Cricetulus griseus: one gene and its partners. The protein of the gene in region 3 interacts with the protein of the main gene of each other region in a pairwise test. Links are inferred from orthologs where the notes say so. Each region holds a gene or a part of one and is shown on either strand. Other genes may lie near its edges. The genes, in order: Frs3, Dtx2, Rfx6 and Nedd9.

The links.
Region 1: the proteins of Rfx6 (region 3) and Frs3 interact in binary tests that used the Homo sapiens proteins (3 or more experiments, as listed by UniProt). The two-hybrid records come from large-scale screens. The link is inferred for Cricetulus griseus from reciprocal best matches to the Homo sapiens genes RFX6 and FRS3.
Region 2: the proteins of Rfx6 (region 3) and Dtx2 interact in binary tests that used the Homo sapiens proteins (3 or more experiments, as listed by UniProt). The two-hybrid records come from large-scale screens. The link is inferred for Cricetulus griseus from reciprocal best matches to the Homo sapiens genes RFX6 and DTX2.
Region 4: the proteins of Rfx6 (region 3) and Nedd9 interact in binary tests that used the Homo sapiens proteins (3 or more experiments, as listed by UniProt). The two-hybrid records come from large-scale screens. The link is inferred for Cricetulus griseus from reciprocal best matches to the Homo sapiens genes RFX6 and NEDD9.

The regions. Positions count from the first base shown.
Region 1 is NW_023276806.1:255,491,172-255,497,149, reverse strand, and holds the start of Frs3 (fibroblast growth factor receptor substrate 3), read left to right. Parts: upstream 1-2,582; 5' UTR 2,583-2,768; intron 2,769-4,271; 5' UTR 4,272-4,415; intron 4,416-5,731; 5' UTR 5,732-5,754; coding exon 5,755-5,820; intron 5,821-5,978. UniProt on the Homo sapiens protein: Adapter protein that links FGF and NGF receptors to downstream signaling pathways. Involved in the activation of MAP kinases. Down-regulates ERK2 signaling by interfering with the phosphorylation and nuclear translocation of ERK2.
Region 2 is NC_048597.1:115,025,264-115,030,499, reverse strand, and holds part of Dtx2 (probable E3 ubiquitin-protein ligase DTX2), read right to left. Parts: intron 4,756-5,236; coding exon 4,618-4,755; intron 2,683-4,617; coding exon 2,609-2,682; intron 2,060-2,608; coding exon 1,901-2,059; intron 389-1,900; coding exon 227-388; intron 1-226. UniProt on the Homo sapiens protein: Regulator of Notch signaling, a signaling pathway involved in cell-cell communications that regulates a broad spectrum of cell-fate determinations.
Region 3 is NC_048595.1:257,101,317-257,107,419, reverse strand, and holds the start of Rfx6 (DNA-binding protein RFX6), read left to right. Parts: upstream 1-2,670; coding exon 2,671-2,890; intron 2,891-3,182; coding exon 3,183-3,339; intron 3,340-6,103. UniProt on the Homo sapiens protein: Transcription factor required to direct islet cell differentiation during endocrine pancreas development. Specifically required for the differentiation of 4 of the 5 islet cell types and for the production of insulin.
Region 4 is NC_048596.1:260,973,381-260,978,842, forward strand, and holds part of Nedd9 (enhancer of filamentation 1), read right to left. Parts: intron 4,514-5,462; coding exon 3,269-4,513; intron 1,982-3,268; coding exon 1,892-1,981; intron 1-1,891. UniProt on the Homo sapiens protein: Scaffolding protein which plays a central coordinating role for tyrosine-kinase-based signaling related to cell adhesion. As a focal adhesion protein, plays a role in embryonic fibroblast migration.

The DNA of each region.
Region 1 (5,978 bases), on a different chromosome or scaffold from region 3:
TCAACAGTCAGGTGACTTAGGTCGCATTGTCCCCATTTTACAGATGGCCAGGCTGGGGCTCAGAGAGCTGTGATATATATATATCAAACAGCTGATAAGTGGCAAAGTCAGATCTTTTAGCCCCTGAGTTTGTGAAGTTCAAATTCTCAGGTCTTACAAAGTTGGGTGGAGTAGAAGAGAAGGCAACAGGGGAAGGAACCATTTTGTTCTCCCATGAGCCTCTGGGTAGGCTGGACCTATCCTCACCTCCCCAGTCTTCCCAAGGTTCCTCAGTGCATCCCCCATATCTGCCCCCTCACTACACATGACTTGGGCTGCACATTTCTAGCTACGTCCTTTTGGAGCCTGGCTGAAGGCCTCCTCACCAGGACTCCTCCTCAGCTTCGCTGGCCTGTACCGGTTCTCCCCTCCGAGTCCTCAAAGCCCCCAAATCGTCACCCAGTGTTTCCCCATCTAGTCTAAATACCTCAAGGGTCCAAGAAAATCTGTGTTCACTCATTCTTTCTGATTGAACCCACAGCCTCTCGAAAACCTGGCAAGCTTTCTTCCATCAGGCTATACCACCTGCCGTTAGAGCAGCATGAGACAGGGGCTCATAGAGCCAAGGCTGGCCTTGAACTCCTGATCCTCCTGCCTCGACCTCCAAAGTGCCAGAGACCTAAGGCATGCACCACCACACCCAGCCTTATAGCAGCAATTTTAACAGATGGTTCCAGTGCACCTCTTTAGCCACAGTTGAAATGGGATCACAGTTTCTTCGGGTGGGACTAACTGCTCTTGATGGGGGTCTCAGGTTTGTGGGTGAGAAATGTAACCAGACAGAACAAGGCTCATGTACATTAATCCTGGGTGAAGGGTTGGGTTGTGTGGGATGCTGATAGCCAGAGCAAACTTTTAGGTTCATGTAGTGTCAGTAACTATTCTAGAATTTTACATAATACAGTCCATTCTTATAACCCATTGAAGCAGTTTCTTCTAAACTGTTTTACAGTTGAAAAACCAACCATTGACCAGTGAGTAAACTAGAAAGCTACAGAAGTTTTAGGAGGTAGCCTACCTCAGCAGCAGCTGGACTCAAAAGGACCAACAGAAAATCACCAGGCTTTTGAGTGTTCTGCAGTTGTTTATAACCATCAGAGCACCTCCCAACTCCAAGTACCACCCCCCCCAGCTCCCCTTCAAATATCCAGTGCCACCCCTCCCTCCTTCCTGACTCCACACCCACCTGCTTCCGGAATTCCTGTTAGTCCCTCAGGTCAGGTTTCCTGTGGAAGGTGGCCAGGATGGACTGTCCACACTCAGGGGTGGGAACAGCCACACCCCTTAGCAGCACTGTTTCAGCTCCACGAAACAAGGGAGGGGGGGTGCGTTTCTGGGGCCCCAGAAGGGGACTTGTACCCTCTTCCTGATTAGTTCTAGTTTGCATGGAACTGTCTGGCACACAAAATAACAATCAGAATTCAGACCTCTACCCTTCATCCTTCATATCCCCCATCTCAAGAGCAACCTAGGGACGGACGTTGGTGGCGCATGTCTTTAATCCCAGCACTCGGGAGGCAGAGGCAGGCGGATCTCTGTGAGTTCGAGGCCAGCCTGGTCTCCAGAGCGAGTGCCAGGATAGGCTCCAAAGCTACACAAAGAAACTCTGTCCCGAAAAGGAGTGGGAGAGAGAGGAGAGAGAGAGAGAGAGGAGAGAGAGAGAGACCTACTTCACCCCCTGTAAGTCCCCTCCTCTCTCCTTTCAGGTAAGAACAGATCAAACACTGGCTCCGCCCCCTCACCCCAGATGCAACCAAGCTCAGGGTTCAACCTCCCCAAACAACACCTCTTCTTGGAAGGATGAGCCCCAGAGGCCCTAGGGACTGGAGGGCAGTGGACGTGGGAAGGTGTCCCTGAACCAGAGGGAAAGGGAGGAGAATGTACGTTTTCATTAAGTGGCCTCTCGGCAGAGCCCCAAACTTTTCCTAGGACTTTGCAGGTCCACCCGCTGAGCGGGGGTCAACGTGTGCTTACCAAGTTCGCTTGGGGTCCCTGTCTACCTGCTGGTCTAAGAGTAGGGACTCAAACTCTCCGCAGGGGTCTCAGCGTGGCCCAGTCTCTCTCTCTGGAGAGACCCCCCCGTCGGTCTACGCCCCCGGTGGCCCCGACCAAAGGGTGCTGCAGACTGAGGATCGCGCTCGTGGGTCTCAGGACGGGGAGGGCGCAGGCAGGCATCCATAAACTTAGCGACGCGACGCTCCACCGCCGAACCGCGAGGCGTCTGCAGCCCCTCGGCCGGCCCCCGGCTTCAGCCCCGCCCCCTGCGGTCCTCTGCAGCTCCCCCCCTCTGTCCCCAGTGGTCCCTCGCCACTTTCCCTCCTGGATTTCGAGTCCTGTCCTGCTTCAGTGGCCGACCCGCTCTGCTGCCTTTGGTGATTCTCTTCTGCTTGAGAGATCGCTGATACCTACGTTCCCCGCCCCACCCGGCGCCTCAAGCCAGGCCACGCCCCTATGGGTTCCCAGGCTCCGGCCCCGAGCGCCCTCTGGCGTCTGCGCATGCTCTCTGCCCCCGACTGCAAAGTCCTCCAAAGGGACCTTCTAGGCTGCCTGCCGGTGGCCCCCGCCCGGGTCGGCCTGCCCGCAGCGTCTCGTTGGTGCAGCCGGTGACCTCCGACCCCGCGGGACCGGAGCGGGGCGGGGCGGGGAGGCCTTAGCTGCGGGCGGGCGGCGGCGGCTGCTGCTTCGGGACCCGGGAGCGGGGCCCGGCGCCGCCCGGGCCGCGGGGCGATGTGAGTCGGGGTGCGGCGGGGCGGGGACCAGGCGACTTTTCCGAGGCCGTGTCGTGCCGCGCCGCAGTCTCCGCTCCTACCCTAGAAAGCCCCAAACGGGCGGGCTAGCGGCGGACCCGGGGGCTGGGGGCGGGGATGCGGTCTCGGAGGGCGGCCGCGACCTTCGCATTCCGTCTGGGTATCTAGAAAACCTGTAACCAGTTCTGCCTCTCGCTCCCCAGACCCCACCTCTCCTCTCTCCCCTCTCCCCTCTCTCCTCTCCCCGGTTACACCTTCGGGTCTCCGGGATCCCGCAGAACCCCCTCACTCACTTTTCCAGACCCACAGACACATCTCGTTCTCCCCTCAGTGGCCCAAAGGCTTCCGCAGTCACCATCCTGAAATGCCTCAACCTTTTCATTCTTTTTGCTCCATGCCGGAATCCAGAATCCTCACCCATCTTCGTATACATTTTCAGTCCTCATACTTCCATCTAGTGTCTGTCCCCAAATCTAACTACCTCAGACCAGAGCCTCCCCCACCCCACGCAGTGTAATCCCACTCTGGATTATCTAATAATGTGTTTGATATCTCAAAGAAAAGGAGGGGTATCGGAAAGGTACAAGCCCTCCCCCATCTTGCATCCAGTGTACTTGGCTTCCCATCCCTTCCCAACACCCTGTTGACAGTTTAAGCCCTATGGTCTTTTCAGTACCGCCTTTAGCCTGCACACACCTCCTTCCAAAGCCAGACCAAGAGTGTGGGGATTCTTTTACCTAAGTGTTGTGCAAGGGTGCAGGGCTGGTGGGGGGGGGGGGGAGACACACCGGGAAGTACTGTTTTCCTGGAACAGGAAGGAGGGATTTCAAGAGTTTTCTTCGGAGTCCTGGTTTGTCAATTCATCTACCTAGGGCTCAATCTGAAACTTTGCCTCTTGTTGTAACTGGCCTTCCTGGCACTAGGAGCAGAAAGCCTGTCTAGCTTTCAAATGGGCAGTGCCTTATTAATACCTATTTCTAGAAGTTACTTCAGCTAGAACTCCCATGGTTGACAGATGTTTCCTAAAGAGGGGCGGGGGACAAGAGTTAGAGGTCTTGGGGGGGGAGTGACAAGCCCCCACCCAGATATGTCTATGTCATAGCAGGAAAACATTCCTGCGGGTGAATGTTGGTTTTCAGAGGCTCAAACTCGTGCTCTTGCTGCACTAGCATTTGTTAATATTGTTGTTCTGAGAGAGAAGGGTCAGGTGATGGTCTGAGCTGCACCTGTCCCAGAGGGCACTCCAATGATGGCTGTGAACTAAAGGTGCTGGGCTATCGGAGTTCACTGCCGTTGGACCTAGGGAGTTCCTCCCGGGACTGAGAATTTGTAGACCTTTACCAGAGATTGTGTTCACTGGCCTTTCTGTTAGGACCTAGGCCAGATAAATCCAGGTGGGATGCACTGCTAACAAGTCTGTCTCATGGAGAGTTAGGGGCTGAGGATAGGTTTCCATTAATGTGTGATCTCTGTCTCCTGTGCTAGGTGAGCCTCAGGTGTGACCCACAGGGATCCAGGTGACGTCTCTGCAGACTCTTTGCCATGTCACCCCACCAAAGACTGGGGGAGTAAAGTGGGAATTCTTTCCCATGCCCCTCCCATGGTCAGCTCCCCAATGGCCTGGGTGAGGTAAGAACTGTGGCTAGGTGTCAGTTTTGTAGATTTCTTAACTTGGGAGAATTGTAGGGAACAGGTCGCTGGATTGTTCAAGGTCCTACCACAGCAGCAGCAGTTCTGGGATAATCTGCTGCCTCATGGTTTTTTGCTGGCTGAGTCTAGGAGTGTAGCTCAGTGGTAGTAACTTGTTTGGGCTCTGTCCATGTGTTTCTTGTTCCCTTAGGTCACTAAGGTCTACGAGGTCTCCTCTCCATATTAAGGCAGAAACCTGTCTGTTGTGACATGTCATCCAATTACAAGTATCCTGAAGGGAAAAGCCAGCCAAGGTCTTTTATCTGTTCTTTGGCCTTTGGGAAGAAAACTAAGCATTCTGGTAGTTATTTTAGAGTGCTGGTGGTTGAATCTGGTGCCTCACATGAAAGTCTACCACTGAGCTACATGCTGAGCCCCAGAATTTTTTTCTCAGTGAAGAAATACCTAATCAATGTTTTTTTTTTTTTAATCATGCTAGTTTGAGCCCAACCTGGTAGTATGCACTTTTACTCCAGCCCTTGAAAAATGGAGACAAGAGCTCTGTGAGTTCCAGTGTTCAGTCATTAAGTGTGGGGTTGTTTTAGTTTATTGGTTTGTTTATCGCCCCCCGCCCTCCCCACACAGTCTTTCTCTGTGTAACAGCCCTGGCTGTCCTGGAACTCACTGTGTAGACCAGGCTGGCTTTGAACTCACAGAGATCTGCCTGCCTCTGCCTCTGAGTGCTGGGATTAAGGGTGCATACCACCACCACCCGGCATAGCTCATTGTGTTTTATGATCACAGTGTAGCAACAGTTTACTTGAGGAGAACATCAGAATTACTGGTTTCCAGTGGAAATTGGGGTGGGGCATGAAAGAAAAGTCAGAACATGGATAGAGTGGAATGGGTAAGGTAAAAGCTGAGGAAAAGAGAAAGCAACAAGACGGTATCTGGGACACCAAGTGGCACTTTGCTGAATCCAACACAGCTGAGGCAGCCCCTCCCCACACCATTATAGCCATGCTGCCTTTGCAGCCCAAGACACTGTCCATATCACTCCACAGGTAGGAGCCCTGTGTGCTTCCCAGTGCCACACTAACTGTTACCCCCCCACCACCTGCAGGAATCCTTAACTCATTCTAACTTGAATTAATGTTTATCCCAAGCGTGTTTGGCTGTGGATTGAGAGAGAATTCCCTCAGGGTGTGTCTGTGTTGTGCAACCTCTTGTCCAGAGGATATGTTCACAGTGCACCGCTCTGCTCAGAGCTGCCGAGCAGGGTTGCCGGTGAGCTACTCATCCTTGTCTTTCCCTAGGGTGGAAAGGCTGCTCTGACACCATGGGGAGCTGCTGTAGCTGCCTGGACAGAGACAGCGTGCCACACAACCACCCTACCAAGTTCAAGGTACCCAGAGCCTCCCCCCTCGTTCTCAGTGGCTTGTTGAGTTTAGGCTGCCAGTATCTCTAGGGAAGGGGAAATGACAGGCTGTGGTTGTGGACTCATTAAGGCACCTTGTGCTTGCTCTTTGACTTCTGAGGTAGTGGGGGGGGGACTAACTCTTG
Region 2 (5,236 bases), on a different chromosome or scaffold from region 3:
TCTGCCCACACCACACCAGCTCAGACATTCCCTCCTGTGAAGAGCCTCCCTCACTCAGAAGGGTCAAAAGATACTTCTCTTTCTTCCATTACACAACCCCAGCACCCCTCCAGGCAGGGCCGTCCTGCTCCCTATATGGTGTAGATGCTGAGAGTGCAGTGGGCACGAAGAAGAGCGCTCAGGAATGGTGGCCTGGCCAGGTCCCTGGTGGGGAGCTGGCCCTCACCTGGATGCCGTGAGGGATGTTGTAAACAATGAGTATAGTCCCGCAGTCTTCGTGGCCTGGGAGAGACACGTGGACCCTGAGCACCTCCATCTTTCCCCATGGCTGTGTTCCTGTCTTCTCCCCATAGATGGTTTTGCAAGACGGACACTGCAGACTCCCATCCTAGAGAGGGCAGAGCAGACAGCCTGAGCTAGCAGCAACCAGCACAATTTAGAGCCACGTCCAGATAGCAAAGGGGGTCAGCATGTTTTACTCTGGCCCCCACACAGCCCCCTCACAGAAACTGGACCTCAATAGTGTACCGTTGTGCACCCCAAACCCGGTTCTCATTCAACTGACAAGATACCAGGAGACTGGCACATGGTAGGAAAATGAGAGTTAAGTCTCCACTTAGTCACCTTCACAGACCTCCCTGACATGGCTCTCGGGAAGTGTACAAGGAGCACCAGGCCTCGAAAACTGTGTGACTTGCCTCCCCTTCCCGCCTACACACCTCTGACTAAACTCCTCCACAAGACAGCTGGGCCAGCTGCTGGGGCCTGAGAAGGACCCTCCCTGTGAGAAGTGGCATGGAACCTGCAGTCAGGAGTAGGATAGGACTCTAGCCAGAGTCCTAAGTTTTTGTTTTGTTTCCCTGTATGGACATGCATCTGAAGGCAGAGGACAACTTAACGGAGTCGGTTTTCTCCTTCCACTTTTACATGGACTCAGGGTTAGACTTGTACAAAAAGCTCCTCTATCTGCTGACTATTTTACTTGCCGTTTGTTTGAGGAAGATCTTAAGCAGCACAGGCTGCCCTTGCACTCCTGAGCCTTTGGCATCACCTCCCAAGTGCTGGGAAAGCAGGTGTCCATGCACAGTGCCCTAAGGGTGATGGCTGACTACTCAGGACTGTCAGAGGAAGATATTAAATGCATGGAAGTGGTAGTATGTAGGAGACACAGCCCTAATGCCCAGAGGAGCGAGCCCAGGACCCCTTCCTGAGGTAAGCTGGAGGGGGTCATGTACTCAGCCCTGTTGGCCATAATCCTACAGCTTGGGGTGGGCCTCAGGGACCCAGACATACATTCAAAAACATCTCTAAACCTTTGGCCCATTTATTTATTTATTTATTTATTTATTTATTTATTTATTTATTATGTGTGTATCATCTGCTTCCATGTATATCTGCACACCAGAAGAGGGCACCAGATCTCATAATGGATGGTTATATCCCATGTGGTTGCTGGGAATTGATCTCAGGACCTCTGGAAGAGCAGCTAGTGCTCTTAACCTCTGAGCCATCTCTCCAGCCCCCAACCTTTGGCTTTTTCTGGTGCTGGGAACCTAGGGCAAGTGCTCTACCACTATGCCACACCCCAGCCACATGGGATTCTAGGCAGGTGCCCTACCACTGTGCTATACTCCTGGCCCAGGCCATTACTGGTCTAATCAGGAGTGAGCCCAGTCTTTCAACCCACAGCCCAACATCTGCCCTTCAGCCTGCTACTGTACTAGCATATCTTGGGCTTCTTCCTTGTTTGGTTTTCTTGAGACAGGGTCTCTCTGTAGAGCTCAGGTTGGGCTAGAACTTATGCTTCTACTGCCTCAGCTTCCCAAGTACTGAGATTACAGGTATGTAACACCACAACGTGAGGACAGGTCACCACAGCCCCACCTAGACCTATGGGTACCTTGTTCCCATTGCAGTACATGGCCAGCAGGCACAGCAGGTGGAAAGTATGGCTGCACTTGGTGAGGCGTCCCACAGCCATGGGCCCAAGGGTGCTGCCGTCAGTCACATCGGTGTACCCAGAGGCCACAGACAGTTTCTCCATACAGATGATGCAGTCCTGCAGGGAAAGCACACAGCACACACTTGCTAGGACATCCGCCATAGCATTCACACACCAATACCAAGCACAGTGAGCCAGTGCAGGGGTGAGGGAGGAAGAGTCCTGGCTTTGTCAAAAGGAGGGAATGCCAAGCCATCAAAGTCAACCCAGAAACAGTTCCTTAACATAGGACCACAGCGCCATCTCTCACCTATGTCCTTGAAGGGCTGACCAAAAAACACAGGCCACAAGGCAAAAAGAACCCAATGGTCTCTCTAGACACAGAAGCCAGAGAAGAAAGGGTGTCCCTTGGGCAAGGCCACCTTGTTCCCTCACAAAGATGGCCTGGCAGAGCCAGTCAGTCATGCCTACGTACCCCATGGGCCAGAGGGGAAAGCACACTGCTCAGGACTTAAGCTTGGCCATGCGGTGAGAATGAGCTCAGGCTACCTCATGTTGGTAATGTCTATCCAACCATGAAAGGGTGGAACCAACACCAGGTTCTGGAGCATAGTGTCAGCCTCCTCCAGGCCCTGAGGGATGGGGCCCTTCTCTCAGCACACATACCTCATCGGGGGCCACTCTCAGCTCCTCCGTGTACTTTCTGATCACATGCTCCGGCTCGGGCTTCGGCGGCCCATCTGGAAGAGAGCAAGATGTCAGCGATGTCCCAGGCATGTGAGGTGGGGTGAGCAAGGCTGAGGAGGGAGCAGGCAGGCAGGCAGGCAGGCAGAAGTCCCAGCTGCAAGGAGCAAACGTTAGCAGGGCTGAGACAAGAAAGTTAGCTTGAAAGACAGGGCAGCCTCCAGTGAAGGCACAGGATAGGTGACACCCCACCTAGGCCACCTGCTTTCCGAGGAGACACAGAATTCACAACAGAACAGCACATCCCCCAAGAACCACCCCAGATGTGTCAAAGGGCAACTTTGAGAACAAAGCACCCCAGCAGATCCTGGTGGTGCCTCCTGCCCAACTATCAGCACTTTTCCATGGAAATTTCAGAGAGGGGTAGTTTAGAGTCTAGTGGGTATGGAGTGGGGACAATGTGAGCATCTGTATGCACTGAAAATGTTGTCACAACACATTACCCCACACACACCTTGGGACTGGAGGATCTTGGTCACAGGCCCACTGGGCTCTGAAGCTGAGTGATCCTGGAAGCGGCTGGCTGTGCATGAGTGTGTGAGGCTCAGCTGAGGGGAGCCCTGAACCAGGGACTAAAAGTCTCCAAGTAGCAGAAGAGTAGGACAGAAGGGGCAGCAAAGTCTCAGAATCTTAGCTAAGCCAGTGAGGGGGCAGAAAAGGGGCCAGGGAGAACGGTGCAGCCCTGAAGCAGCCACCCAACCAGGGGCCCACTGTCTAGCCTGAGGACCACAGGACCACTCCAGACCAGAGAAGCAGGTCACAGCCACATGGAGAGGGGCTTAGTGTAGAAGCTAGAATCAGAGGACATGGGGTTTGATTCTACTTCATGTACTGTGACCAAATCCTACTACCTCAGAGATCCAGGAAGTTGTCATTGGTTAAAAAAGTATCAGCTGTTAGCTCCTGGACAAGGTAGAAACCAGCAAAGGGTACCACATACATCCCACATATGCCCTAACTCACCAAACACAAAGACACAGACACCCACACACACATGCACACAACTCACAATACCTGCAAAGCACTCACACTCTGGTCATTGGCAAGAAAACCAAACAAAAGGACCACATAGGTAGGACTTCCTTTAGATCAGGGGGCCTTTTAGAAAAGCCCAGTCAGCCAGGCATGGCAGTCCATGCCTTGAGAGGCAGGACTAAAATTCCAAGCCAGCCTTGAGTGTACAGCAATAACTTGTCTCAAAAACAGAAGACAGGGAAGCTCTATGCTACACAGACCAGTCTCCAGGTAACCTCAGGACCTCCCTCTGGCTCAGAACCAGCTAGGCATCCTGCTGCCCACTTGTCCACACAGCCTTCTATGGCTGAAAGGAGCTTCAGTTACTGGCATTTCTCAAAGCACTCAGGCCAGCCACGTCAATCCCGTAAGAGTCACCTACCTATCCCCCAGAGCGCCAGAGGGACTGCCGGCCAAATGTCAGTGTTCTTTACAAACAAACTGGGTGTGCTGAGAAGCTGCCAGCCTGCCCTGTCCACAAATCTGTCTCTACAGAAGCACAATACAAGTTTGTGCAGAGGGCTGGGACTTTTAGCTTAGTTGGTAGACTGCTTGCCCAGCATGCATAAAGCCTTCCCTGGGTTCCAAACCCAATGCTACATGAACTGGGAGTGGTGGTGCATGCCTGCAACACCAAAGCTTAGGAGGTGGCAGCAGGAAGACCAAGGTTCAAAAGTCAGTGAGGCTTCCTGAAGAGACAGCAGCATCATGATCAGCAACCAGGTCAACACTGAAGTTACATGTCCTCAGCAACAAGCCCTTCACCCAACAATACTGAGCCACTTCTGCTGGCAGACAAGGGCAGGAGAAGAGGTGCAGAAGTAGAGAAGGGCCATGGAAGGCAGAGAAGAGTCCAGCAGCAGGATTTAGAGGAAGCTGAGCAGAGCTACAGTGTGTGTGAGCCGGGCAGGAACTACCTTTCACGGACATTTTCCTCAGCCTCTTAACTGAGCTGTGACCTTTAGAGGCCGGACGGGAGGCAGGAGGGCCGGTGGGCCGGGGTGCGCGGCTAAGACACACAGGGAGTCCAATGGCTGACAGCACACTCGTCATGCCTGCACGGGTGCGAGATCAGACATGCAGGGGGACAAACGTTAGAAGGAGGCATTCCACACTTGGTGTTCATGACCCTGCTGGGAGTGAAGTGGTGACATCATGAATGGCCATCAGACTGGGAATCACTTCAGGAGAGGGGATCTGTCACTGGAAGGGTGCCAGTGCCTCCCCAGGCCAGCAAAGTGGTACTACAGGCCAGACACCAGAGAATCTGAACCCAAAGGTCCCTGAAGTCTATACAAGCCACTGCTGAGCCTGTGCCCACAGCATGCAGGGAAGGGGAAGGAAGACAAAGTGGTTTTAGGAGAGCAGAGGCAGAACGGCCCAGGGGCCTCCTGCATGGCATCTCCCCATAACAGGTGCAGGGAAGAAAGAGACAGGGATGTGGTAGGGTGCAGCCAAGCTGTGGCAACAGGGGCAGTCCCAGGAGGGCAGGCTTCAAGGACTTGGGGGTTTTCCCTTGACTCTGTGCTAAAGTCA
Region 3 (6,103 bases):
GGCTGAAGAGTATGAAATCTTATACCTATGGGCAAGAGTCTCTGCAAGAAATGCAATGGCTATAAAATGTGCATATCTTACCTTCTTCCGGTCTGCTCACTTTGGCCCTTTCCCTCATTGGAGGATGCTTGCCCATACAGTGCTTGTTTTCCTCAGCCAGTCTACTTACTCACACATCAGTTGTCCCCAGGACACCTTCACAGAAGACTTCCATTATATGGAATGTTCCTGAGTATGTCTACATATTAGCAATTAAGAGGCAAGCCCTACACACTAAGCAGGCTGGGAGGCTTTCAGAGGATTTGGTAGAGACTAGTCTGCCAAGTCGTCCTAGGTAAGCAACAGTGTCCCTTTGTCTAGCATATCTACATTGTTTATGCTTTCTGGGTTATGTGATGGACTGTTGGAGTACTGCATGGCTTCGGCTCCATTAACCCTTGTTTTGCTTTCTCATGATCCCCAAATGATAGACTGGTGAGACAGAGGAGACACCAGCACACAAAACATGGGAGGACAGACTGGCTTGGCTTCCATATAGCAACACTGCAGGACATACAGGAAACAAAAGCATAAACAGAGTGTGATTCCACCTACAGTTTCAAATAACACTGGACATCTTAGAACACATCCCCATGGAAATGGGGGCTATTGAACTCAGACATGGTCATCCAGGATGAGGGCAGACTTGCCTCATCATCTAAGCATTCTGTCATGGTATCCCCTTAGGAAATGTTGACATCAATTCTTTAAACTTTGGGTGCAATTTACTACTTACACCTCCTTGCCTTGGGATTTTTAATGTTGGAAGATTATCTATTACTGATTTAATAACTTTAATTATTTCATGTCTACTAGCAATTCCTAACTCTGAAGAGAAGAACAAAGAACTCCAATGGTGTTTTGTAAAGTAGACCATTTACTTTAAATTATGGCCAAAAATTTGTTTAGGGCCTTAGAAGATATTAGTTTGCATTTCCATCGATCAGTTCAATGGGAAAATTGCCAAATACTCACTTAGTGTTTGTATGACTCACATACACAAACACACCTTCTGGATATCAAGTGGTCTGTATTTTAAAATTAAAGGAGAAATTCCAGTCATTTTCTGAACATTTTCCTCATGGCAATGCAGTATTAGTGGATAGAGCCCTTCTGTGAACACAAAGAGGACTTCCATTGCAGAAAGCACCTGAGTGTGTCTCGGTAAAGGTTGTACATGTTAGCACTGAAGTGAAAAGCCCTACACACTAAGCAGTCTCCAAGGCTTTTTAGAAGACTAGGTAGAGAAGACAACGCCAAGTTGTCCTAATGGGTAAGAGCCTCAGAACATAGGATATGGGTAAGTGTGTGGCTCCAGCCTGCAGTCAGCAGCCACAGGAAGCTGGTGAGAAGAGCTTTGAGAGAGGAGATGCCTTTTCCAGCAAGAGCTGCTGAAAATGCAGAAGCTGCAACACAAGAACAGTTTCAGCTGCCCTGGGGGAAACCCTGCTCTTGGATAGACTGTTCCCTGTAAGTGGTCCTTCAGTGATCTGCCACTCTGGGTCTCATTTTGTTTTCTCTGGGTGATTTCAGTTTAATGTTATTTCATGCTGAATTCAAGGCTGACATCTCTTTCTGATGTCCCCCAAAGAAGATACAGGATCAGCTGTGATGAAACAATGGAAACCAGTGCCTGATCCTATCTTTTCCTGGAGGGCCTGTTTGTCAAAAGGACACAAAATAGAATGAAGAAAACCATGTGTCAGCCAGGCAGTTGGATCCCAAATCCCCACATAGCACCCTTCTCTAAGAAAATCCAACTTACTTTTAAACAAACACGACTTTTGTCATTTTTGATTGGAAGGTTATTAAATTTAAGCAAATATCCCTTGTACACTGCTCAGCGTGAAATGAGGAATTGTAAGGGAATTTTTGAGAGAAAAAAAATCTTTTTTTGTAAGGGAATTTTAAGAGAATGCATCTTTTCCTCCAATCTCGGCAGCTTAGAGAGCTGTGTGAGGCCCAAGTGTCCAAGTCAGTGTGCACAGTGCAGAGCAGTGTGATGTGACCAGCTCTGCCTTCCAGTCACTGAACAGGATGCTCCTGTATCCTTGGATTATGCTGGAAATACATATGATCAAGTCTGTGGGAAGAATGGCGAAAGCTGAATGGTACTCAGGGTTTTATTCCCTCTCATCCTAAGCTTGCAGAGTCAAGGCTGCCCTGACAGGTGCCTCAGTTAAGACTCCCGAGAATAAAGATGGGGACAGGTGAAGCTTCTTGTCCCAGTACAGAGGAAAGCTAAGCTTTCTGGGATCATTCAGGAAGTTTTTCCATAGAGAAGTAGCTCTAAACCTAGAACAAGGTGAGAGAGAACGCATGAAGAGGAAAACAGCTCAGGTGTGACTGACACGGTGTGGAAGTGAGCTGGGAGCAAGCTTCTGCTCAGACCTGAGACGCTCGAAAAAAGGTAGCATTGCCTCCGCCCTCCTCCACCCCGCCATCTGTGCAGTACCTGTTCACTCTGTCCCCTCTCCGCCATCGGTGGGCTCTGAGCCTGTGGCCTCCTCCCTGCCCAGCGGCCACAGGTTCCCCAGCCCCGCCCCGCCCCGCCCCGCCCCTCCCCAGGTCTCTGGGCTCTACACCGAGCTGGGCCAAGCTCTGCTCCCAGGTGTGCAAACGCTGGAAAGGATGGCCAAGGTCCCCGAGCTGGAAGACGCCTTCGTGCAGGAGCAGCCTTCGCGCCAACTTCCCTCCGAGATCGCGGAGGAGTGCTGCGCACAGCTGCTGGGCAAGGGCTTGCTGGTCTACCCCGAAGACAGTGCGTACCTGGCCGCAGGAGCAGCTGCAGGCGCCCCAGGCAGCCGGGAGAAAGGCGGAGACCCCAGGCTGCAGGTGGGAGTCAAATCAGGTGAGTGCTCCGTTCGCCTTGGCTGCGAGGCAGAGACTGAGTCCCAAGGGCGCCCAACAATAAAAATAAACCCATACTGAATACACATAGAAGAAGTAGGGTGCTCTGTCGGGACCGTTTTATTTCACCACGAAAAATGTTAACGGAAACATTGTTAACACCGAGGGCTTTGCTCAACTCCTGCCTTGCTCCTCCCCGGGCTTCTTATTCAAAGCAAGGCAGGTAGATGTGGAGGCCACCGGACTGATCGCATGTTCCCTTGTTCTTTGTCACTCCTTAAACTCGCCATCAGAAATGCATTTAAGCAATGGTAACTTTTCCTCCGAAGAAGAGGATGCGGACACACACGAGAGCAAGACCAAAGCCGCCGACCCGCAGCTCTCTCAGAAGAAGAGCATCACGCAGATCATGAAGGACAAGAAGAAGCAGACTCAGCTCACCCTGCAGTGGTAAGCCGGCCCCTACGCGCAAAGCGAGCACCCTCTGAAGTCCACCTGCCTGCCGGTGTCTCTAGGACCCTGGCTTTCCCCCTGCTTGCTTTCCTTAAAACTTCCACAAGTTTAAAAGACCCATGAGAAAAGCATCCATTTTCTTTTCACTGCCTACACGCACGATCCATGTTCTGATCATGGTGAAAAACGAGATATATATTTTTGACTAAAACCTCTAGGTTCTTCCCATGTGAGTAGTGATGAATTTTTCCGTGATTATTTGCTAAACACGGAAACTATTTATTTGGTATTTTTATGCTTTTGAGATAGGATTCTTCAAAATAACAAAAAGTGGAAGGATCCACATGAGGGCAGATACTGTGTCTTTGGAAAGTAGATGGATTGAGTTAGAAGTAAAAAACTGATAAGTCAGTTAAGCTGTTTTGATTAACAATTTTCAATTTATATAATATATCACACATATGATTTACTATAGCAAAACATCACAAACTGATTTTTTCCCAAGATCTTTTAAAACTAAAAGATTATCACCAGGTCTTCTCCTAAATATTAAGAGCGTTTTTTTTTTTTTTTTTAACCTTGTCTAAAAGGAAGAGATATCTAAAGTTAAGTCCTTGTCATTAAGAACATTTGCATAATGGGAAGGATTAAGGCACAAATTTCTTGCCAATTCTGAATAATAAATAAAAGATTACTTACTTACTGATTAGTTATTCTGTCTGTCTATCGTCTTTCTATCAGTCGTCTATCTAGTATTATCTAAGTGTTAGAAAAAATTGAAAAATAGAATCCATAAATGCTAGCAAACTTTATTTTTGTTTATTTAATTATTAAGTTCTAATTTGCATAGCCTAAAGTTCTGAAACTATGCTTGAACCCTTGCAACATCTGAAATATAAAACAAATATTCCTGTAAAGTTGTATTTTGACTATTGAGGTTTGTTGTTACAATTACTAGTTGAAAATACCCTGGAGTTGTACATAATTGAGAAATTATATGGAATATTTAGGAAACAACTACTGCCATCAGGATAATTGGGAAAATTTTTGACTTTGGATTTATTTTAAAGGATTTTGAATGATCTCTCCTGGGTTTTTAATTCAAATTGAGTGATTAGAAACAATCCTAGGTTGTTTAAAATTCTTATCATATATATGTATATATGATAAGATATATATATTATATATATGTCTAGTTGTTGACTCAGTATTTTGAAAATTGAACAATGACTATAAAAACAAGTACCCAAATAAATGGATTGTGGGTATTATATACCTACCTTTAAAATGCAAGTTTTAAATAGCAATTTCTCATAAGAATTTTCATGTTTTGAAGAATGTTACATTGCTCTTGTGTTATAAATGATTATGATTTTATTAAACTTGAAAGTAGTATAATTACATTTTAGTAAAAATTACTGGACAATTAGAAAAAATGGCAATAGAATATAGAAGTCTTCATTTCTAGATTGTCATTCAGATAATTGCATCACAAACATATTCATTACATTACATTTAGTTAATTAAATGGAAATCTACCCAGGTTTTCAAAGTTTATATAGTTATATCTATACTACAGAGTTGGGATTGTCTGTGTTGTATTCAGACTTCCATAGAGGTATATTGTTGTTTTAGATGATCATAGGTTTAATCACGTGAAAAGTTTTAAGAGTGGAATCAGATCGACATTTCAGCTTCAGTGAAGTGAGTTTACCCTGGTGTCTTTTCCAAACAAATACTATACCATATTTTCTCTTATTGATTAGGATTCAGAAGTAGTCAGGGTGTATGAGCATTGACAAGCTGAAACCTGGCAATCCTTTTGAATTGAGGATGTTCTTTTAAAAAACATAGCATCTACAATTTCACCACTTACAGTCCTAGATCAAATAGTAAACAATTGAACACTGAAGATTTATAAGGAAGTAAGATCCAGTATTTACAATGGTGGCCTGGAAGGAGTGGTTTCTACATTAACATCACATTGTGATTGAACTAACAGGTGATCACTGTTGTTCTTACTCTTCTCAAATTAATCCTTATGTTTTGTTTGTGTTTATGTGGCACATCTGTGCTTGCTTACAACACAAACATTGTTTCAGGGTTTTTGTGAGTCAGGAGTCTAGACAGGTTACTTGCCACTAAGTTCATGGCATTACCAGAAAGAAATTAAGAAATTAGTTGATGCTGGAATTTCATGAGACCTTTTTTCTATTGTTTCTCTAATCTCACTGGCTGTTGAGAGAATTTATTCTCTCTGTAGACCTGAGGTCCTCAACTCCTGTAGATTACCTGTTATTCCCTTACAGGTGGCCCTCTTTAGAAATTACCGTTTGTTTCCCTAGATCTGCAGAGAGTACCTGCTATGACTTCAGGCCTTCCTTCCATTTCTGACTTCCAGACATTGTTTCTAGGGGCAAAATTAAATGTAATCAAGAGAATTTCCTTTAATAGGAAATTAACTAACACTTATACATAACCTTTGTACACGTTTTAAAAGTCCACTGTTATGTTTTGATTATGTAAACACTGAATAGTGACAGCAGTGTAAGGAGTATATCCATCACCATAAACCACTAAGATTCTTTTTATGGAATACACATTCAAATTCCTCAATTTTTGGCTATTTTTATCCAGAACAAAGAAAGCCCATTTATGTTTACTCATTAACTCACTTGTATAGTCTGTTTTCAAAATGAGCATTAAGTCATTGAGGGGGCAGGGAGGTAATAGTGAAAAGGTTTGACCTAACTCTTGTCCT
Region 4 (5,462 bases), on a different chromosome or scaffold from region 3:
CCCTGTGTAAATGTTTCTTAAATGTTGAGAGACAGTAAGGGAAAGCCAGACACAGTGACCTTTCTGTCAAACACATCACTGACAGTTTGCCACTTCCTGGGTTAGGCTCTGTCTCTCTCTTCAAGATGGAAAATTCATGAAGCTTCTCTATTTCTCCTACCCTGTCTGTCAAGATGTACATATTATGACTCTTTACTACAAGCAAGTGTTACAAATGCACACCTACTTTGGGGAAAGGACACGAGGAAATCCCAGCATTAATTGCTTACTGTATTTTATAGCATGAGTGTGCTGGTCAGAGGACAATCCATGGCAGGAGGTTTCTGGGGATCAAACTCAGGTCATCAGGCTCTGCAGCAAGTCCCCAACACTGAGCCATCTCAATGGCTTGGGCGTCAGTTTTTTTTTTTTTTTCTCTTCTTTGTATCCCTAACTGGACTGTGATTTCTGATTGAAATGATAATTTCTAGCTATTTCACCAAGAATCCCAGGTTTAGGACTCAGAGCTGAGTCAGCACAGGAACCATAGCATCCTGCTCGCCCCGCCCCTGCCCTCTGCCCTGAGAAGTGCATACATAGTTAGTCAGTTTTGTATTGCACAGAATTCTTAGGAATTACTTTAGTGTGTGATAGTTCCCTTAAGCTCTGCTGTCTTCTGGGGCCAATTGCCAATGTAAACACAGCAGACATAGGGTGGTGTTCCAACATTATTTGATAATAATGAGTTTGATTTCAAATCATGTGTTCACAGAGGGCAGTACTTTCCTATTTTACAGAGAAGGAACTGAAGTTTTGGCCCATTACATGATGCTCAAGTCGACACACCTGTTGGCTACAAACAAGGGTTTGAACTCAGGTTTTCTAAAGGCATCTTGTCACTTCATGGTGTGGTGCTGTGAAATAGCACATCAGCTATTTATTTCATCTTAAAGAGTCTGTATCTTTAGTCAATTTCTCTTTGATTTCATGCCCTTGACTTCGAAGTATCTATCCTTACCTGCGGTGCTCATTAGCCCTTTACGTGAATGTGCTCTGCTCAGAACCCTTGGTAAATGGACTTGGGTATGTCTCACAAACATTGGATCATTCCCTTTGACCCTTACAATGGACCATGCAAAAGACAGGTAGAGAGATAGGGTTGGGGAGAGAGCTAGAATCAAACTCTCTTAGGAATTTGATAACCACAGAAGGGGGTTGACCATTAACCAAGGAATCCCATGTGAAACACCATGCTTTGGAGCTCAGCACAATGGCACACCCCTGCACTCCCAACACTCAAGAGGTTGAGTAAGGAGAATATCAAGCTTGAGGCCAGCCTGGGCTTCATAGTGAGACCCTATCTCAAGGCATAACATAATAAAACAAAGTCCCATAGAAAGGACTTTGAGTGTCCATTGTGAGTTTTATAAAGTTAGATGGGGCCTGAGGGAGGAGGTGACTAAAGAAAATGTCAGAGTAGAGGAGAATGAAGGAAATATTGGAAGAGAACCACAAGGTAAACAAGGAGAAAAGATAGCCTTTGATCCTGTTGGTCTTGGCTCCATTTTCATTCTCCTGATTTCCTTACTGTGGCCTCAATAGAAAACCAATTAGCTTGGGCCAGCCTGATTGGACTTGTGTTTTGAGACCAAAGGCTTTAACCCAAATAGTCCTAATGTGTTACAGATTAACAGGCATAGCCCGAACAAACCCCATCATTTGGATGCAAGCCAGGTATACTCAGTTGGAGTCACAGACCACAAACCTTCACTTTGTTCTTATGTCCTATTATACGCCTGGGACTTCTTCATGCCAGCGTGCTGGCAGGACCCCAGCCTTTTGAAGTTATCCATTCCCTATTAAGTGGAGCCCTTTCTTCCACCAAAGAGCCCGTTGTTTTGTTTGAACTTACCTGATGATGCTCCAGCTGGGCCTTGCTCTGCTTGATGATATTCTCTTTCTCCAAGAGCTCCTTCTGCTGTCTCTCGAACTCCTCCTTGCCCTATTGTTTTCAGCACAAAGACTGCATTACCTCACCACTGGGAGTCACTTAGAACAGCTTCATTGACAAATGCACTCAGACTCTCATTGTTCCCTGGCCACTTTCCTCATGTCCCCCTAGACATTGTAAACCACTGACAGGGGCTTCCAGAGTTAGTGTGGAGACAGGCTTGAAAAGTGAAGCCTGCTTCCAGGTGGGCTGCCATGGTTGTTGCTCCTTATAGCTGGAGAACTTCCCATGATCCTCTTTATGCTTCTTAAGAGGCTTTAATTTTTCATGGTTCTTTTGTAATGGATTATATGTAAACGCATGCACTTTCAAACCAAGGTAAAAAATGGGTGCATATTTCACTTCCAATTTCTTTGAATCTCCTATATCTCCCCACCCGTACTTAGTACCCTCCAGGATACACCATCAGAAGCCTGGAGAGATGGATGTTAAATGCCTTCATCCAGCTTAGGCCATTCCTCAGCATGAGATGAGGCTCAGGTGATCCTTTCTACTCTCTTGCACCTGGGAGATTTCAGTATTAAACAGTTTTCAGCATAATTCATGGCCCTCAATCAAATGGAAAAGAATGACAGAATAAGACATTAAATACATACTAAGTACTAGTTTATGGTGGAGTGTCTAAATTCTTCAAAGCAGGGGTCATTTTCAGGATTCTAGGTCAACTGAGAACTAGCACAATTTATACTTCTAGGAAGAAGTTTGCAGAGTTTAATAAATGCAGACCAAGCTGTTGGCCAGTTGGCAAATGATCACAGGTCCTCTAAATCTGATGGGGCTATGATTCTTTGTAAGCCGTGAAAGACACACACACACACACACACACACACACACACACACACACACACACGGTCTCAAGAGTTCCTTAGAAACTCTATGAACAGATATTTTCAATAGTTTTATTTTCTTAACAGTGACATATTTTAAAACTTCTTTCTATTACTACGGGCTGTTTCATGGAACTGTGCTATAAATAAGAATTGATGCCATGACTAGTGGACCCACTGTTCCCCATTGGTGAGTCTCCTCCTGCTTGCTGAGGTATGTGATCAGTGAGCTTTAATACAACCCTTTGAGTTAGTGCATTCTCAAAATAAAATTAGGGCCCAGGGAGGTAAATAAAGTGACTGTACAATTTCTGTACAGCTCCACCCTTAATTTTCACAACACTTGGATTAGCACTCAGTGTGCTCTGCCCTTTGGCTGTCAGGCCTATAGATATCCATCCTCGGCTCCCTGAATGTGAGTGTGGGTGGTCCACGGGTCTGGTTTCCTTACCTGTAGGTGGACATAATCATAATCATCCATCCAACTCCTTTCGGAACCATCACTGCTACTACAGTCTGGTGGCTGCTCCTTGCCTAGAGTGGGAGGCAATGGCTTATTGTGGACCTGGGCCTTGTAGTCACCAGGGCGCAATGGCTGCATCTGGGACCCCGTGTGCGTGTACTCGCTTGAGTTCGTGATGCTGTCGGGCCCATTCTTCAGATGGGAACTGCCAGGACCTGCTGCTCTAAAGAGGGTCTCTGCATAGGTGCTGATGGTGGTGGTCAGTTGCTTGGCATCATCTGGTACTGTCTTGGCTACCATCACAAACCGGTCCAGATCATCGCATTTATTTTGAGGCTTATTGATAGCTAGGACATTCAGGGACCAGCTGCATTCATTCAGATCATGGCTGGTTTGACTTAGAATCTGGTGCGAATCTTCGACTCTTTGGAGTTCGCGCTTCATTTTGGTGTGGAGGACCAGTTCCGGGAGGCAGGAGGCATTAGCCAAAGCTCCCCTGGCAAAATGGAGGTATTCGCGTAAAAACAGCTCCACCTTGTCCACTGCGGTACGGATCTCATTGATGTGTCTTTCCATGTATCCGTAACACCGCCAGTCTGTGGTGACGAGTGACGTGAGGCTGCAGACACCCATCTCCAGGGTCTGCTGGAGCCGATAGAGTTTTTCAATGGCTGTGTCTGGGTCCAGTAGGAGCCTTTTGTCCTGAGATGGGGAGGCTGACAATGAGGACTCCTTTGAGGAGGTGGAAGATGTGGACATGTTACTCCTGGTACTTCCGGTGCTGGAGAAAGACAGCCGGTTGATGCCGTCTACCACATCCCGAGAGCCTTTGCCATCTGCTGGGTTGTGCAGAGGAACATCGTAAACACCATCTCTTTCCTCCAGATTTGCCTTTTCACTGGTTTCTGTGGGTGCCTCCAGAAACTGAACTCCCCGGGGGACATCATAAGCATCACTCGGAGTTCCCCCAGACTGGCCCAGCTGAGAGGGAGGATGATGCAGAGAAAGGTTCTGGTGTCTTCGTGCCATTGGCTCTGCAGCTCCTGGGGCATCACAGGTGAATTTGGAGTGAAGGTCCTTCCCCGCTGTCTTGGTGCTGGTTGGAGGGATGTCATAAACCCCCTCAGGTCTAGTGTCTGGTCTTCCATCTTGTTTCATTGGAGAAGGGAAGTCATATTCCTTTTCCCTAAGCCCTGCTTCATCTCGATAAGCTGATGGTGGAATGGCATAGACCTAAAAAGTAAGTCAAAAGCCAATTTATTTGTTCAGTTGGATCTTGGATGGAGGCAGAAAATGACAGTCCATGAAGGTGTGGTCCAGAGTGCACAGATCTGTTTATTAGATCTTCTTTTTCACTCCACCCACCATTTACTAATTTCCGATGTTTCCCAGGGTGTAGCATGGTCCTTAGAGGCTATGTGCCCTCATCCATACACATGAGCATTCATTACCATTCTCAATGCTGGCTGCCGTGGGCGTAGAGCCCTAACTTGTCACCACTAGGTTGCAGTCTTGTGTCTCCAACCATTTACTAACTATCCTGCCCAGGGTGACCCATGCTGAGAGACGAACTGAGTTCTCTTTTTGGTCATCAGATGATTTGTAAAGCTGCCTGAGTCTCCTTAGTAGTCAGAGGCAGGGTTCCCTGTCTGTTCAGCAAAGCTAGCTGTGTTTGAAGTGTGGGCACTCTCAGAGAATGACAGAAAACCAAAAGAGCTACCTCTTATACATGAACTGAGGAAGCTGTGGACCAGTGGTTCTCAACTTGGGGGGCGTGACCCACTTGGGGGTGAATGACCCTTTCACAGGGGTCACATATCAGATATCCTGCATATCAGATGTTTCCATTACAATTCATAACAGTAGCAAAGTTACAGTCATGAAGTAGCAATGGAACAGTTTTATGCTTGTGGGGGTCACCACAACACGAGGAACTTTATTAAAGGGTCACAACATTAGGAAGGTTAAGAACCACTTCTGTAGACCCTTCTAGAAATATGTGATGTATTAGATATTGAAAACTGAACTCACTATCTTCCCTTCCAATTGACTCTCATTATTGACACCTCTTTATTTCAGGGGACCCTCTAAATTTGTGATTACGATTATAAATTTATAATCAATTGCTGTCTTCTCTTCCTTGCCTTCTTCCCTCTTTCTCCCATTCCCACTTCTGACACCA